Drosophila melanogaster: one gene and its partners. The gene in region 1 interacts genetically with each later gene. Each region holds a gene or a part of one and is shown in the gene's direction. Other genes may lie near its edges.

The links.
Region 2: of Delta (region 1) and sno, changing one suppresses a phenotype caused by changing the other (phenotypic suppression), as found in Drosophila melanogaster (2 studies listed by BioGRID).
Region 3: of Delta (region 1) and px, changing one enhances a phenotype caused by changing the other (phenotypic enhancement), as found in Drosophila melanogaster (2 studies listed by BioGRID).

What each region holds. Positions count from the first base shown.
Region 1 is NT_033777.3:19,323,214-19,328,160, reverse strand, and holds the start of Delta (delta), read left to right. Parts: upstream 1-1,943; 5' UTR 1,944-2,622; coding exon 2,623-2,679; intron 2,680-4,947. UniProt on the Drosophila melanogaster protein: Acts as a ligand for Notch (N) receptor. Essential for proper differentiation of ectoderm. Delta is required for the correct separation of neural and epidermal cell lineages.
Region 2 is NC_004354.4:13,208,635-13,213,549, reverse strand, and holds the start of sno (strawberry notch), read left to right. Parts: upstream 1-1,875; 5' UTR 1,876-2,447; coding exon 2,448-2,450; intron 2,451-4,915. Other genes in the region: REG (proteasome regulator gamma), read right to left, coding at 27-394, 592-961. UniProt on the Drosophila melanogaster protein: Notch pathway component, may contribute to the specificity between lateral and inductive Notch signaling pathways in the wing disk. Required during many developmental stages including oogenesis, embryogenesis and imaginal development of the eye, wing and leg.
Region 3 is NT_033778.4:22,559,026-22,563,813, reverse strand, and holds the start of px (plexus), read left to right. Parts: upstream 1-1,748; 5' UTR 1,749-1,895; exon of another isoform or gene 1,896-1,915; intron 1,916-2,671; 5' UTR 2,672-3,068; intron 3,069-4,788. Other genes in the region: CG11362 (uncharacterized protein), read right to left, coding at 1,025-1,320, 1,381-1,420.

The sequences.
Region 1 (4,947 bases):
CAGGAGAAATTCGGGGTCTTGGTCCGCATTTCCTTGTAAAATTGGGTGTTGACTTGATTGGTTTCGTTTTCTGGGGTCTCCTGTCTGGTCTCCTCCTGGTCTCATGCATATGCAAATGTCCCTCGTTCGATGCAAATTAATGAAGACCGATTTTTATTGTACAAATTTCAACAACTTTATTTCGCGTGAAGAGAGTTCTGGCCATGTTATTCTCAGCCCTTTGCCTTGCTGACCCATTTATCAGACCATTTCAATGAACTGCTGTTTTCGAGTGATTTACAATGTTTGATCAAAAAATCGAATCAAATTAATCTTGCTCTTTTCGTTAAGTAATTGGATCAATTTTTAACGAAAGTTTGGATCCAGAGACCACCGAAGAATCTAATGATTTGTTAGGAATAATAATAAAATAAATAGGTGTACAGACTTAGCATTTTTACCTTAAGATTTTTACAGAATAGAATGGAAGTACAAATTGGAAAATCAGGCCAGCTATTTAAAATTGTAAAGCCAAAATGAAATCGTAGTAGGCGAACACATCATATTCAATCTATTTTCATAAAAATATTTAGTTTAGCTCGATTCGGCATCGTCGGCAGTCCTATATCAACTAGAAAATATTTGGATTCAAAAAAAAAATTTTATTTTTATTTTTTTTAATATTCGTTGAAAATAAATGCAAGTATTAAAAATTATTACTATTACACAAAATGCTTAGAACAAAATTTATTGATTTTGAAATATTGTTTGGTTATATAGTTATTTATCGTTTATTTCAATAGAGATTCTAGTTCATTTGGTTATTGTGGAGCAAACATATGCAACGCAGTGAAGATGTTATCACAAGATGGTATTTCCGAGCCAATGGATCTTTGAGGCAGAGGCTTGTAAATATTTGTACATTCTGATCATATTTAATGAGATTCCAAACCTTTAGCTAGATGGTATCTTCAGCAATTTCCACCGAGCAGCTTGGACAATTAATATGTAGTTTATGGATCCTCTTTCAATGAATTTAGTATGCCCAAACTCGAAGGAGTTTCACCTCCATAAGAGCGACAGTCCTGGAGAAGTTATCAGAGCCAAAAAAATTCATATGATGATGCATTTTCCGTCTCTGAAAACGTCTTCAGCAGAAGTTGTTTTTAGCGAAGTGAAACTCATTCGATTTTGATCATACTAACGACATTGGATGCTTGGATCGGCAGTTTGGTGGAATATAAATACCAAGACCCTAAGACTGATGACGTACCTGCTAATGAAGATGATGGAGATATACTTGCATGCCAATTCAATAAGTTATAAGCACCCAATATAATAAAATTCAAATATTTATATTAAATACAAATATCCATCTTTAATTTTATTTTTGGTTCTCATCTTGGCAACAATAAATGTTGCTAAGCATTTTGCTTTCAACTTTCGCGTGAGCTGAATCGGTAAATTGAGCGAACCGGGAATCAAATGTTGCTAACGAAATGCTTACAAGCCGGTATCCAACTGGTATCTGAAACTGCTAGCAAAACGGGGAATCAAATGTTGCTAACGTAAACGAATTGAATTGATTTGTTTTATTTTAGATATAAAAATAAAAGTAGAATATCTAGAAATAAAAAATCCGAATTTTGAAGATTATTTAGAGACAATCTTGGAAATTTGTACAAATAAACACCCGTCCGGTTGAAGTTAAACAATATAATAAATTCTTATATCAAAATAAACTTGGTAATGTATATTGAAATTTTAAATAGTTTTTAAAATGTGTAAGTTGACTATTTATTCAAAACGGTTTGTTGCATTGCATCTGCTGAAATGCACTAATTTTGCCACGGAACTCGTTTTGAGAGCGAAAGAGAGAAATGAGAGAGCGAGTACGTTTCGTGGTATTTTTTAGTACGATTCGCGGCGGTGAAGGTGAATAGTGTTTTGGTCGTGGACATGAACGGCATTACGTTTTTCAACTCGGCCGCGCGAATAACTCGAAAAAGGCAGCTCCGCAGCCAAGGCATTTTGAAAAACACAAGTCCCCGACTCGAAACGCGACCAAATATTCGGTGTGTGACGCGAACTGCCAATGCAATAGTTCACTTAAGAATTGCAGATTACCGCGACTCTGGGCAGTTCTCATTCGATATTTGAATGTACCAAAAGAAAAGTGCCAGAACCAGAAATCAAAATAAAAGATCTTCTAACAGAATAACAAGAAGTGTTTCCTCCGAAAGATTAAAAAATCGCGAATGATTAAGAATCGCGGCACCGTTAGTTCCCTCTCTCGCTTTTCCCTTTTGCGCTTTTCTGCGTGAAAAGGAGAAGACTCCGCAGTTCGCGAAAAGAGCTTTTATTTCGCGACACTTAAAAATAAACACAGTCGAGGAAATTGCAACAAAAAATGTGGCGCGTGCACGTGTAGCTTGCAACAACGACAACAAGAAAACAACGAAAATGCTAAAAGCGAATTGCAAAACCATGTGCGACAAGTAACCAAAAAAAAAATTCAAAACATAAACACAATAAACAATTTGAGTAGTTGCCGCACACACACACACACACACACAGCCCGTGGATTATTACACTAAAAGCGACACTCAATCCAAAAAATCAGCAACAAAAACATCAATAAACATGCATTGGATTAAATGTTTATTAACAGCATTCATTTGCTTCACAGTCATCGTGCAGGTGAGTTTCAGTCCCAGGAAAAGCGCTCATTTTCCATCCAACAAGTTGTATTTTTTGGCAATTTATTTTCTTTATTTCTACGCGCACGCGTGCACTCACCGCTGAATTTTGCAGCTGGTGTGTTGTGCGCGCATGTGTGTGTGTGGGGCCAAAAGGGAAGAAACGATTGAAGGGTTGCCAGGTTACTAAATATTTTAAAACTTTTGGGGTTCCGTATGATCATCTCAAAATATCTATTTTGAAACCACTCCAACATCGCGTTTGCTTCCAAACTTATTTTTCAAGCTGGTAACCCGAGAACTTTTGGGTAGAAACAGCTGAGTTGATATTTTAAGCGGGTTGGCTTTTAGGGGTGGAAATTGTGGATCGGATCGTATCACCCTTTTCGGAACATGCATACATATTTCATAGAGCAAAACTAGTTTGGAAACATGCGAGGCCAATGCCCAAACAGGTCCATCCCCAAAAAATGGTTTAATTCTAGTACACAGCGGAAAAATATGAGGCATACGTTAGAAGAAATACCTTCAAGATAATTTTTGACATGCAGATCAGTTCAACTTCTTAGAAATCCTACTATGTGTACTAATTGTTCTCCGTGTAAAAACAGAGATGATCCAAGTCTGCCTCAACGTCAAAATTTACCACCAACGGCGTATGCATCCAGAGCAGCAGCAAAAAATGATAAAACTGCTCGATTTCAATATGAGGCTATATAGTAATGCTGTGCTACAAGCCCATGCTAAAAAGTTGATGATGCTGGGCAACATCTGCCGTTTTCGCCGTCATCTCCTCCTCTGTCCCTCCGCTTTGCATGCGCTTTTTACATGCGATTTTTTTCGGTTTACTTTTCGCTCTGCGTAGGTCAACGCGACACATGCTCAGCCTCACTTGCTCTCCCCTCCTTGCGTTGTTTCTCTTCTGTCATGCTTTCATTGATCTTTAACGCCAGCATCCCCTGGTTACACGGATAAAAAAAAGAGTTGTGCAGGGTTTCCAAACAGTGCGATCTCTAGAAAATAACACTAAATATTTTGTTGTTAATGTGTGGGTTAGTTTCAAAGATAAGAAAATATTAAATTATAATAAATCTTGACCATACATAGTATGTGTACATAGTATACATTTCATAGTTCAGAACTATTTAGCTACGAAGAAATTACAACTTAGATCCACAATATTAAGCTGATAGGGAGCTCTTTATTGATAATAGTACCCATTTACTCACCGTGCACCCTGCATGTGCTCCAATCCTCTACCGCTCTCCGCACTTCTTGATTTTCTCCCAACTTTGGCACGTTGCGTGCTTAAACTTCACTCTTCGACCAGCTTCTTTTTGCAGTCTGCTATTTAGTCGCTAATTTTAACAACGTCCCAAAAAAGTGTCTCGACGCCAACCTCCTGGGGTCTTGGGACTGCTGAAAATGCTCCCCGTATGTAGGCAGAAACATCTGCCCAATAATTCTGACTCATTTCCTTACTTACTTACAGGGAAAGGTGGAATAGTTTAATTTGTCATTTAAAATAATATCTCGGGCAATTAGCTTGCCATTAGCAATGCAATTTAATTCAATTTTCTGCCCATTCTATAAGGTATTATTCTCACAATTTCTTGGCCCTTTCTTGTCCCATGCTGCGTTTAAATTTCAATTTAACTATCAAATAACCGTAGTCGCCTTGTTTTCGCATTTATGCAATTTTCATATTAACATTGAGCGTCGAAGAAGTGAGTGAGTGAGCGAGTGAGTGAATGAATGAATGAATGAATGAAGACTGGGACTCGTGGGGGAGCACTCGTAGTCTTCTCGGCTCTGCTCTTTCTTCGCATAACATAATTAATTGCAATTTAGAAGCCAAAGAGGAAGACGACGACTACTCCCACACAATGCGATGGATGATTCACTTGCGCTTGTAACTGTTTCCCAAGCCCGTTGTTAACGGTTGATTATGATGATGAATTTAAATGATTAATAAACAACATGCAGGGTAGGGGCACCAAAGCAAACACCTGTAGGAAAGTCGAGGAAAAGTCGGGGAAAATTATAATAAAAATGCGTGCTTTCATACATTTTTATGTCCCCTTGTGTTGTTTTAACTTCTTCCCTGCTTTTTTTTCTACAACAACTGTCTGTCAGTCAAGGCAAGTTGACGTGGAAATGGCAAAAAATGAAAAGAAACGAAGAACTAACTAACTAGTCGCTTCAAGCCTCAGTGATCGCAGTAAAAATAGGAGTAGTGGCCAGTAAAGAGAAAGAAAACGAGAAACGG
Region 2 (4,915 bases), on another chromosome or scaffold:
AGGCTCGGGCTTCGGAAATACCTAGCCTAATACAGGCTTTCGGTATTTGAGGAGCGCGGCTTCTTTAGCTTCTCGAGGTTCTTAATAACAATGTCGTGCAGCGAGGAGTAGCGATTGCGGACCTCACAAACGACCAGCCACAAGCTGAGGTACTCCTTCTCGTCAAGTTCGACGACTGCGCGCCGATAATCATCGATGTGCGGATACTTGGCCACCTTGGACACCACCTTGGCGCGCGACAAGAAATAGCGCGATATCTGGTCAAAGAAGGCGGCCGCCTCGGATTCCACAGTTTGAATTTCGGCAAGCGTGTCCTCTTGAATGGAGACGCCAAAGTTGTTGCCATCCTCGATCTTGGGTATCATAAAGGAGATCCACATCTTAAGTAGATTGGCTGCAAAAGAAATCAATTCAGAAATTACTAGGTATTCATTAAAAAGCTTAATGTCAGGCAAAACTTTAGCTACTGGCATTTGTACCGTTCGAATGTAAAAATTCTTGGAATTCATTGTTTTAGGAAAATTGAAGGGGCTCTTGAATAGCATAAAAACATTTATTAGGTTGAGACGCTTGAATATACGGTGTACTTACAATCCTCCACAAGCTTCCTGATGATAGGCTTGACGACCTTGATCATCTCGCAGAGCGGCTTGTTGCACGGCACTGTACCGGCGGGCAGACCCATGACAGGCTGCCCAGAGACGATGACATCCACGCGCTGGCGCTTGGTGGGCAGACTGTCACGATCCTCCAACTCGTTTTTAACCAGGAGAGGCGGCAGGACCGGGATGTTGAGGTCCTGGTGCACTTCTTCGAAGTTGCGCTCGTTGAAGATCGGCGTGGCCAGCAGCTCGTTCAGCCGGACGATATTCTCCGGGAACCCCTTGGTGATTAGCAGCTCTGCCTTGAGGATCAACGAGTCCTTGTACTCCTGCACCTTTACCACAGTGTCGTTAGGCATTTCGTTAGCTATGTGGATTCCTTTTCGTGTCCGTGGAAGCCTTTGATCCTGAGTCCTGTCTCCTGGCGTAGTACCGGTTCTTCTCGTTCCTTATCTTCTCAATAACAATCAGCAACGCGGACCGTCTGAAATCGGCGGACTTTTAGGGACTTGTGTCGGCGGATTGCGAAATTGAAAGCGGGAAAACCAGACTTACCGACAAATTTTGATGCCCAAGCAACAACACGCATGTGGTGCTAGAGGTGGAAGAAAAAGAATAATCGATGCTTATCGATAGCGTCGAAGTTTGCAGAAATTTTGCAAATTAATACCCCACAAGTATCTTAAATATCTTGAATGTCAATATATATTTTTTCTATACTTTTTTTAGATTGAAAGTCTTCTAATTACTTTCAGTTTCATAAACAAATTAGCTGAACATTAAAGTTGGCAAAACATATTTAAATGCATTAATGTACATTGCAGTTGGCATCATTTATTTAAATGCAACAGCTGAAGCTCGCTTCTCATTTACCATGTTAAACTTGCATATACTTTGTTGTAACGTGATTAGAATTTAACGGATATATATCATGAAATATAAAGAAATAAGACGCGCGCCATTTATCGATAGTCTTGTGTGCACCGCGTGCCAGACCGATAGATTTGTTTAAATACCAAGTAAGTTTATTATGTCTCCCTTTGTGCAATTTAAAATGTTTTCATTTAAATATCTATATTTTTAAAATATTTTCCATATATATATATTATAAGTAATATTAAGCTATTAATATTTTTAGAGCAAACACGCTATAAATAAGTGTGCCCAAATATAAGTTTTAGTATACATCGGCATTCTTATCAATAATCGTCAAACTGACGTTTTCTCGCTTCACCATTATCGATTCTCATCGATGTTTTTCCAGCTCTATCTAGTTGGCATCTCGTTAGTTGCGATAGTTGGCATGTTACGTGTGTTTTCGGCTTCGTCGCTTCATTCTCGTCTCGTTCTCGTTTCCTTCCTCCTTTATTCCGATTCCTCGTTTTGCGTGTATTGCGCGGTACAACGCATACGAACAAATTTATCCGAAGCGAAATACCGCGTGCAGCAACAAAAGAAAAACACACTCAACAACAACAACACACACGCATGCACACACGCATGCAGTCATTATCGCAACACCAATAACAACAGGAAGAACAACAACAACAAAAACATTTCTAACGCGCTGAAAATTGCGGAGTCCAGCCTTTTATATTTGCTGCATTTGCTATCTAACTTGCCGCACAATTGTTCTGTTCCGTTGACAGCATCAAAAACGCATTGTTAAAAAGAAATTAATATATAAATTTTAAACAAAACACAAAAAAAAACCAAGAAAAGAACGAAAAACGCGTGGGTGCGCGGTCTGTTGATTTTTTTTTTGTGGTTAACAACAACAACAAGAACCATCGGAGGGACGAACATCAAGAACAACCACCGTTAGCAGTAAGCAGGAGAATCAAAATGGTAAGTTTAAGTTAGCTGGCTTTTTTGTTGTTGCCGTCAATAGCATGACTTAATATAAATTTCTTTGTTGCTAAATTTTGACACACTCACATTTACCCACACACACATGCATAAAACAAAAACAAAGCGGCTGCAGAAGCTGATGAAGGAGAATAATAATGAGAAGAAGGAGCAGTAGCCAACTCATTCAATAATTGTTGTTTCTCCTTTTCTTGCGCCTTTCGCTCTTTCCTCGTCCACCCATTTTGTTGTTGTTGCTGTTTTTTTTATCTGCAATTGTTTTCTTCTGTAATTTCTAAGGATGCATTTTATATCGCAGATTCGCGTGGCCTGGAACCATGTGTTTTTCTCTCCCTCTCATACTCCCTCTTAGCGCTCGCCCCTCTCTTTCGTGCACACACGCTGAGTTTAGTTTTGGCGTTTTTTCCCCCGCACACGAGTTAAACGAATTCAGTCGACAAAAGTTGCGCTAGGTTAGGGTTAAGGCCATGCGACTCAGGGGCAACATGTGGGTTAAGACCATGGGCGGGGTATGGGGCTATGGGTCTATGGTGCATCATTGAATTGAGGATGACAACTATTTTTCAGGGGGCGGCATCGTTTTGAATGTTATCAAAACTATGACCATACAATTTCTATTTCTACAAATGTAATTTAAATTATATAGTCCGTAATAGTGTTGCTAATCTATTCAAAGAATCATTTTTTATAAAATATGTTAATAATATTTATTTGTATCATCAATTACTGGAAATTTGATATACTTATGCCAGCTTTTGACTACTCAAGTGTTTTACAAGTACCGCAGCTTTACAGTGATTGATTTGTGAAATGCTTATGCTTTTGTTTACGTGCAAAGAAAATAACTTTAATTCCTCTCAAAATGCACATATTTGTTATCTAAATTATCCTTATCCCTATGATATAATAATACGATTCACAATTTGTTTTCTTGATAAAGAAATAGATTTGATTATCGTTTATTTACCCGGATTTATTCGTTATTATTCCAAGTTTTTTTTTCCTCACACTTGTTGCTCGGCATGAGCGACGGAACCCCTGGCAGAGACTCAAACCACTCACGCAAAAGTTCGATAGAATCCCCGCTAAGGGGTTTCCACTGTAGAACTGCAGTTGGTGCAGCTGCAGCTCAGAAATGCATCCTGAGAAATGCGAGTTGCCCCTCCCACACAAGCTGCGCTGCTTTTCCTCTGCTGCAGCCAGAGCATTTCTGATTGGGGAGGGTGGGTAAGTGGTCCTACGAGCCGTGTTATGTATCGCCGTGTCCGCTTTGGCCAATGCATTCCGAGTTTTTTGGCGCCTGCGCTTTCACATTTCCCTCGGCCCGGTCAACATCTCTTTGCCAACTCCTGGGAGCGGGAGCCTTTATTAGCTAAATCTCTCCCCATTTTTGTAACATTTTTCAGGTCTATTTTCCTTGGCCTTTGTTTGTGTCCTTTTTTGTCCGTTTTTATCTGCACCTTTTGTTTTTATTTTTTCATTCGCCTACCCTGCTGATAAGGGTTAATGTTGTGGCTGTTTATTTTTCGTAATTCATACCAACTTTTTTTTTTTTTTTTTTTTTGGCAACAACATGTTGATGTTTCTATTTGTGCGAGAGGGTGGTTGATGGAAACACATGTTTTTGGCCACAGATTTTCAACATTTCCCTTGTTGCAAGGTCATTCGTTTTGATTTTATTTTGTGTGTCAACAAAAATGTTGCAATCCATTAACAGGCGGAGGTGTGGATGAAATATTGCGGAGTTAGAATTGATTTGGGAGTGAGAACTATGTTTTCGTTGAGGAATGCATTTCAGATGCTAATAGCGAATTCTTATTTTTATCTTTTGAGCCTAATTAAATGACTTCAATGTAAATGATTAATTAATTAAGTATCTAGTATCTATCTATCCTAGCCAAATACAATATAATAATATTCATTTTAAAGAGGTGATTACTTGAGTTAAGCTGGTTTTTGAAATCTGATTGGAAAAATGTTGAGAATATATCGCACTGTCGTAGATCAGTTTTTATAGTGATCGATCATTCCAGCGGACGTTCACTGTCCTCACTGCATTTGTTTGTCTCGGCTGCTTCTGTTTGCTTTGCTTTTGGCCCAAGTCCCTTGCCAGTTGTTTTATCCCGGAGCACACAGAGGTACACGGTATATATGTTTGAACGCATATAGCCAGCGAACGAGCCAACCAGACCCGTCGCCACCCTCCGGCGCCCACCAGCACCCTACCCCTTCCCCAAGGACGTGCCCACATCCACAGCCACAGCAGTCTGTCTTGCTCTAATTGCTGTACATGCGCTGCAGATTGCTGCTCCTCCTGGCACCCCCCCCCCCCTCATCCTCCACAACTTTCGACCTGCTCCAGTCCCCCTGACCAACCCCTTTGGCCGCATTCAGCTGCCAACTGAGCCAAAACCCTTTGGTTTAAAGGGGTTGGGGTTGAGAGG
Region 3 (4,788 bases), on another chromosome or scaffold:
TAATCTACAGAGTAGCCATATACACGATATATATATATACCTAATATATATATATATATACATATATTTACTATTTATAGATGTACGAACTTCGAGAAAGTGCTATTTAAACTCGTCTAAGACTTCACTGCATAGCCTATGCCTAGAATCTATAACTGCAGATTGTTTCATATTCATATACACACTGTATACTGTATACACATAGATATATTTACGATCGTTATAGATCAGCGATACCTTATACGATGTAGCCCTTGAATGTACAACATAGTTACTTACTAAATGTTAGCAATTTTACCAACTAAAACTCGAGATGTATTTATTAACGCCTAAACTCTTTAGTATTCCACCCTACCCAAAGGAACCTATATAAGAAGCCCCCCAAATTCTCATATATCTAACCATGGATACCTATTAAAAAACTATATGTTATAGCGTGTGTATATATAGGACAAGCGTACAATAATCGCAAACCCAAGGAGCAAAGTAGTACTAAGTACCTGCAAATCAAACAGAAAAACATAAACCGAAACTGAAACAGAACACGAAACACGAAAAGTATCTCTGCAGCGGATATTACATAGTCAATAGTAAATGTTAACAATGTTATACTATATATACATAGATCTATATATATATATAAATATATATATATATATATATACATATAAAAGAAACCAATGAAAAAACCTTAAATGTACCTTGTTATCTGTTGTTTATTATTTGGAAAGCAAATCTTCGTTTCTTGCCGTCTTTAGTTGAAAGCTTTCTGTGGCATATTTCTTTGTTCTTCCTTAACGAATTCTTCTATCATTTATCAGTTTTAATACTTCATTTCTTTTCTCCTTTGGCCTCGTTGCAAAACTGAATTCGAAATAAATGCTCTTGACCAAAAAATCTCATCAAGTTCCTCTCATTTGAAATCATCAAAACCTCATCGTCTTCTCCTTTCATTTTCTTATTTATGAGCGCGTTGGAATTCTTCTCACAGCTGGAAAATATATCAAAAAAGAACATACTACGCCTATGTAATGAGTCCAATGAATCTGCCAAAGGTCTCGATAAGAAACCGCATCATCTGCAAATTATCCATTTCTGGACTCAGCTTGAAGTACTGAGTAATCTTCGGTTTTCTCTTTCCCGGGATATCCCTGTCCACATTTGTAATGAGATGTTTTAAGTAATGCGGAATACTCTGAAGACCAAAGGGAATATTTTCGTTTTGCAGCAGGAACTCTTCGGTTTTCATAGTAACAGAATTATTTGGCACTGCCATTTTCACACTTATTTCGTTGGGAATAGCTGTTCCGAGTGTGATTCCTAAGCCGGCAGGGAAAATTCATTAGTAGAATTTATTTTATACATATGTTAATTGCTTACCCAAGAAAAAGTGCAGAATAAAAATCACTATTGAGTTCATTTTCAGACCTAATTATTTCTGTTACAATGTTCTGATTTTGGGTTGAGTTGTGACGCAAAGTATACTATTTGAAAACTTTACTTCGACGCTTAATTCGAACAATAGATTATTATAGATTCAAAGTTTATTTAAATTGAAATCTTTAAATCCCGTTATGTTACATTTTTGAATTGCGCGCCCAAATCTTCCACGAACGCGTTAGCACATAACTCAATTTGAGCCGCTTGTGAGCAACAGCTGATCCACTGCTCTTCTTCTTACACTCCAGACAATCGCAGCACGAAATCCAGCGATGTGGCAACACCGCCGGCCAGGTGGCAATTCTGCTGCGCAGTGTGCACACACTGGCAGCCACTGCTGGTTGGCTCTTCTTCTTGCAACTGCTGCAATTATATATCGCTGTTCCGTCGTCTCCGCCGATCCAACTCCGCGCAAAAAACCGCACATATATCGCTCAACGGTCCGCGAATAATCCGTAAATATTGCAATTGCACGGTGGGCACAAAAAACACGACAAAATAAAAGGCCCAACACAAAACAAACGGAAACTCACACGGACACACGCACACACACGCAGGCGAGCAGCTGACGCCGGCAGAGGCAGTGCAGCAGCAGCGACAGCGGCAGAGCAGCGACGGCAGCAACAAGCAACAAAAGCAAAAGGCAAACAATTGGATAAGCGCTATTAAGGTGTTAAAAAGGCAGCCAACTTAACAGTCCAAGAGTTCAGCTTGAAAAGCTAACGGTTCCAAGGTCGCAGCGCGAAAAAATCGAAAAAAAACACTCGCTTTTTAGCCGTCTTGTTGTTGTTTTGGCTGCTGCAACAGTTGCAGCCTATGCGTATGTGTGTGTGTGTGTGTTGTGTGGAATTGTGCGATCGCCATCGTCCGTTTCTCTCGCACTTGCTGCTAATAGTCGCCGGTGAAATGGTGTCGCCTTTCGCAGCCGACGTCGACGTCGCTGCCGACGACGGCGCAGAGACCACCACTGTGGCAATGAAACGCAATTTGTTGTTCTTGTTTCTGTAAAAATGTTTACAATGCGATCAAAATGCACTGGCAGAAATTAAGAGTGATAAGCATCAAATTTAGCCCATTAAAATTTGAAATTGTTAAAAGCGATGTGATAAAGTTTATAAACACAACTATAAGTTTGAAACACATAAGAATAAAATAAAATCTAACTTGCGCGAAATTCATTTTCTTATTTTAAACCTGTAATAGTGACCGAAAATTTTGAAATTCTTTCTAGATTGTTCAGCCACAACTGAAACATAAAATCGAAACCCTATTTTTACCAGCTTAACATGGGTAAAGTGAAACTTATAAGAAAACCATGAAGAATACCGTGAATGCTCAATTCAAAATTTGAAAATCCACTAGTGCTCTTAATAGCTTCAAAAGCAAGTGAAGAAATTTAGAATAAAGAGTGTGATAACCGAAAGAAACACCGAGAAACGCCGAGGAAAGTCTAGACAAGTGCCTGAAACCAAATGTGTTTGCCCCGAAGTTAAGTCCCTTCGATCCGCCCAAATCGGCTTTAATTCCCGTAAATCCCCTCTTCCGCCCAATAATTCCGCCACAAAAACAGGCACATGAGTTGGATTAATCGGAGTCAACTGGAATAGGCCGAAGCACCCGGAGCACAGGTCAGTATCGGAACAATCAGGCCATATCGACTGACATCAATCAGTTAAAACATTCAAATACCGTTTGCTCAATTGGACGGTTCGCCTTGAATCGGTTGAAACCGGTTGCCGATTACCGGTTCGCTTTAAAATTCAATTAATTTAAATCAATTCAGACCAGACAGTTTGGTTTCGTGTGGTTTCCATCACAAATATCCGCCGCGACCTAACTATTTCTAAAAAAATGCAATAAAAGATTGCACAATTCCTAGCAATCGAGGAATTTCAAGTGCTGTACAGCAAATCTGAATGATACTGATATTGACGCTTTTTAAGTGAAGGCATGACGAAAGTAAGACGTTTTTTACGGCATTTACAAAATGCTACTCAAAATATTAGGTTTTGATACGGAAAATCTCAATAGAATCTACCTTACATCATATGTAGATAAAATTTAAAAGTCTTTAATAATTTATGAGATTTTAAATACAAATGCTGAAGTTTGCCATCGAACGTAATTGCAGAATCCTAAGATATTATCATTGACAACTTATTGGGCTGCAAAGATAATATATAAAATATATATTCAATTATTATATTTGTCCAACTGATGGAATTAAATAATCATTAAAATGGTAATTTAATGAGGCGCTTTTGCAGAAAACAAAAGCAAACCGCATGGCGAATAAAACAAAAATCGAAATAAAAGCGATGATTTATGCAATATTCAAATATGCATTTCGCACAGGCACTCACACACACACACACACACACACATACATACAGATAGCATTTGGCTTGAACTTTAAAGAGCGACTACGGTTATTAATTTAACCTTTTTATTTGGCTTCACTTGGTTTAATTTGTGTCCAGCAGGTCCCAAAAACCTGAATGCGCTGATGGCCAGCTCCGCAAATCCCTGAGCCCCTCTTAGCTGTCCGGTTTTTTTTATTTTTTTATTTTTTGGGCGCCCTTAATGGAAAAAATGTTGAGCGGTCTTTTTGCGATTCTCCTCTCGGCTTAATCCCATTTTTGAATACCCTAGCAATAGGGCTTATAACTTCGTTAAAATGGTGAAATACTCTAAATAAAAACATAAAACATATATGAACTTATTTGATTTCAAACTCCAAATGTTGCATGCTTTTAAGCATTTTAAAACCATTCGGTTTTTTGATCTCCATAAGATGTTCCTTATTCCTTGTATATTTCGATTCATCGCACATCCATAGATGATTGATACTGTGCGTATCCGATAGGGTATTCTTAATTCCGATTCGTACATATACCATTTTATACTCGTTCCCCATTGTTTTTGCGTCTGTTTACGTTGAACTGGGGGCCACTGAAATGGAATCGAGGAGAAGGGTGCCCAAAAGGAAAACGACGTCCTGCCATAAAATTGCATGTCCAAGTTGTTTTATTTGATTATGCGATCGTGTGTGTGTGTGTGTGTGTGTGTGTGTGTGTGTGTGGATTTTTGTTGCTGTGCTCGTTTTTTTTTTTTTTTTTGCTGCAAGAGTTTATTGCGCGGAATGCTATTTAATAAATTCCATTTTCTCTGTCATTTTGCCGTGTTTTTGTTTTTGCATCTCGGGCAGGATTTATGTTCTTGCTTTTGTTAGCGCTGTTTCCGCTTTCCATCTTGTTTGTTTGCCCGATGCAAATTTAAAAAATTCAATTTCCCTGGTAACTCCAATTGCGTCAAAGGCCAGCCAAAAGTTGCGGAAATGTGAATTAT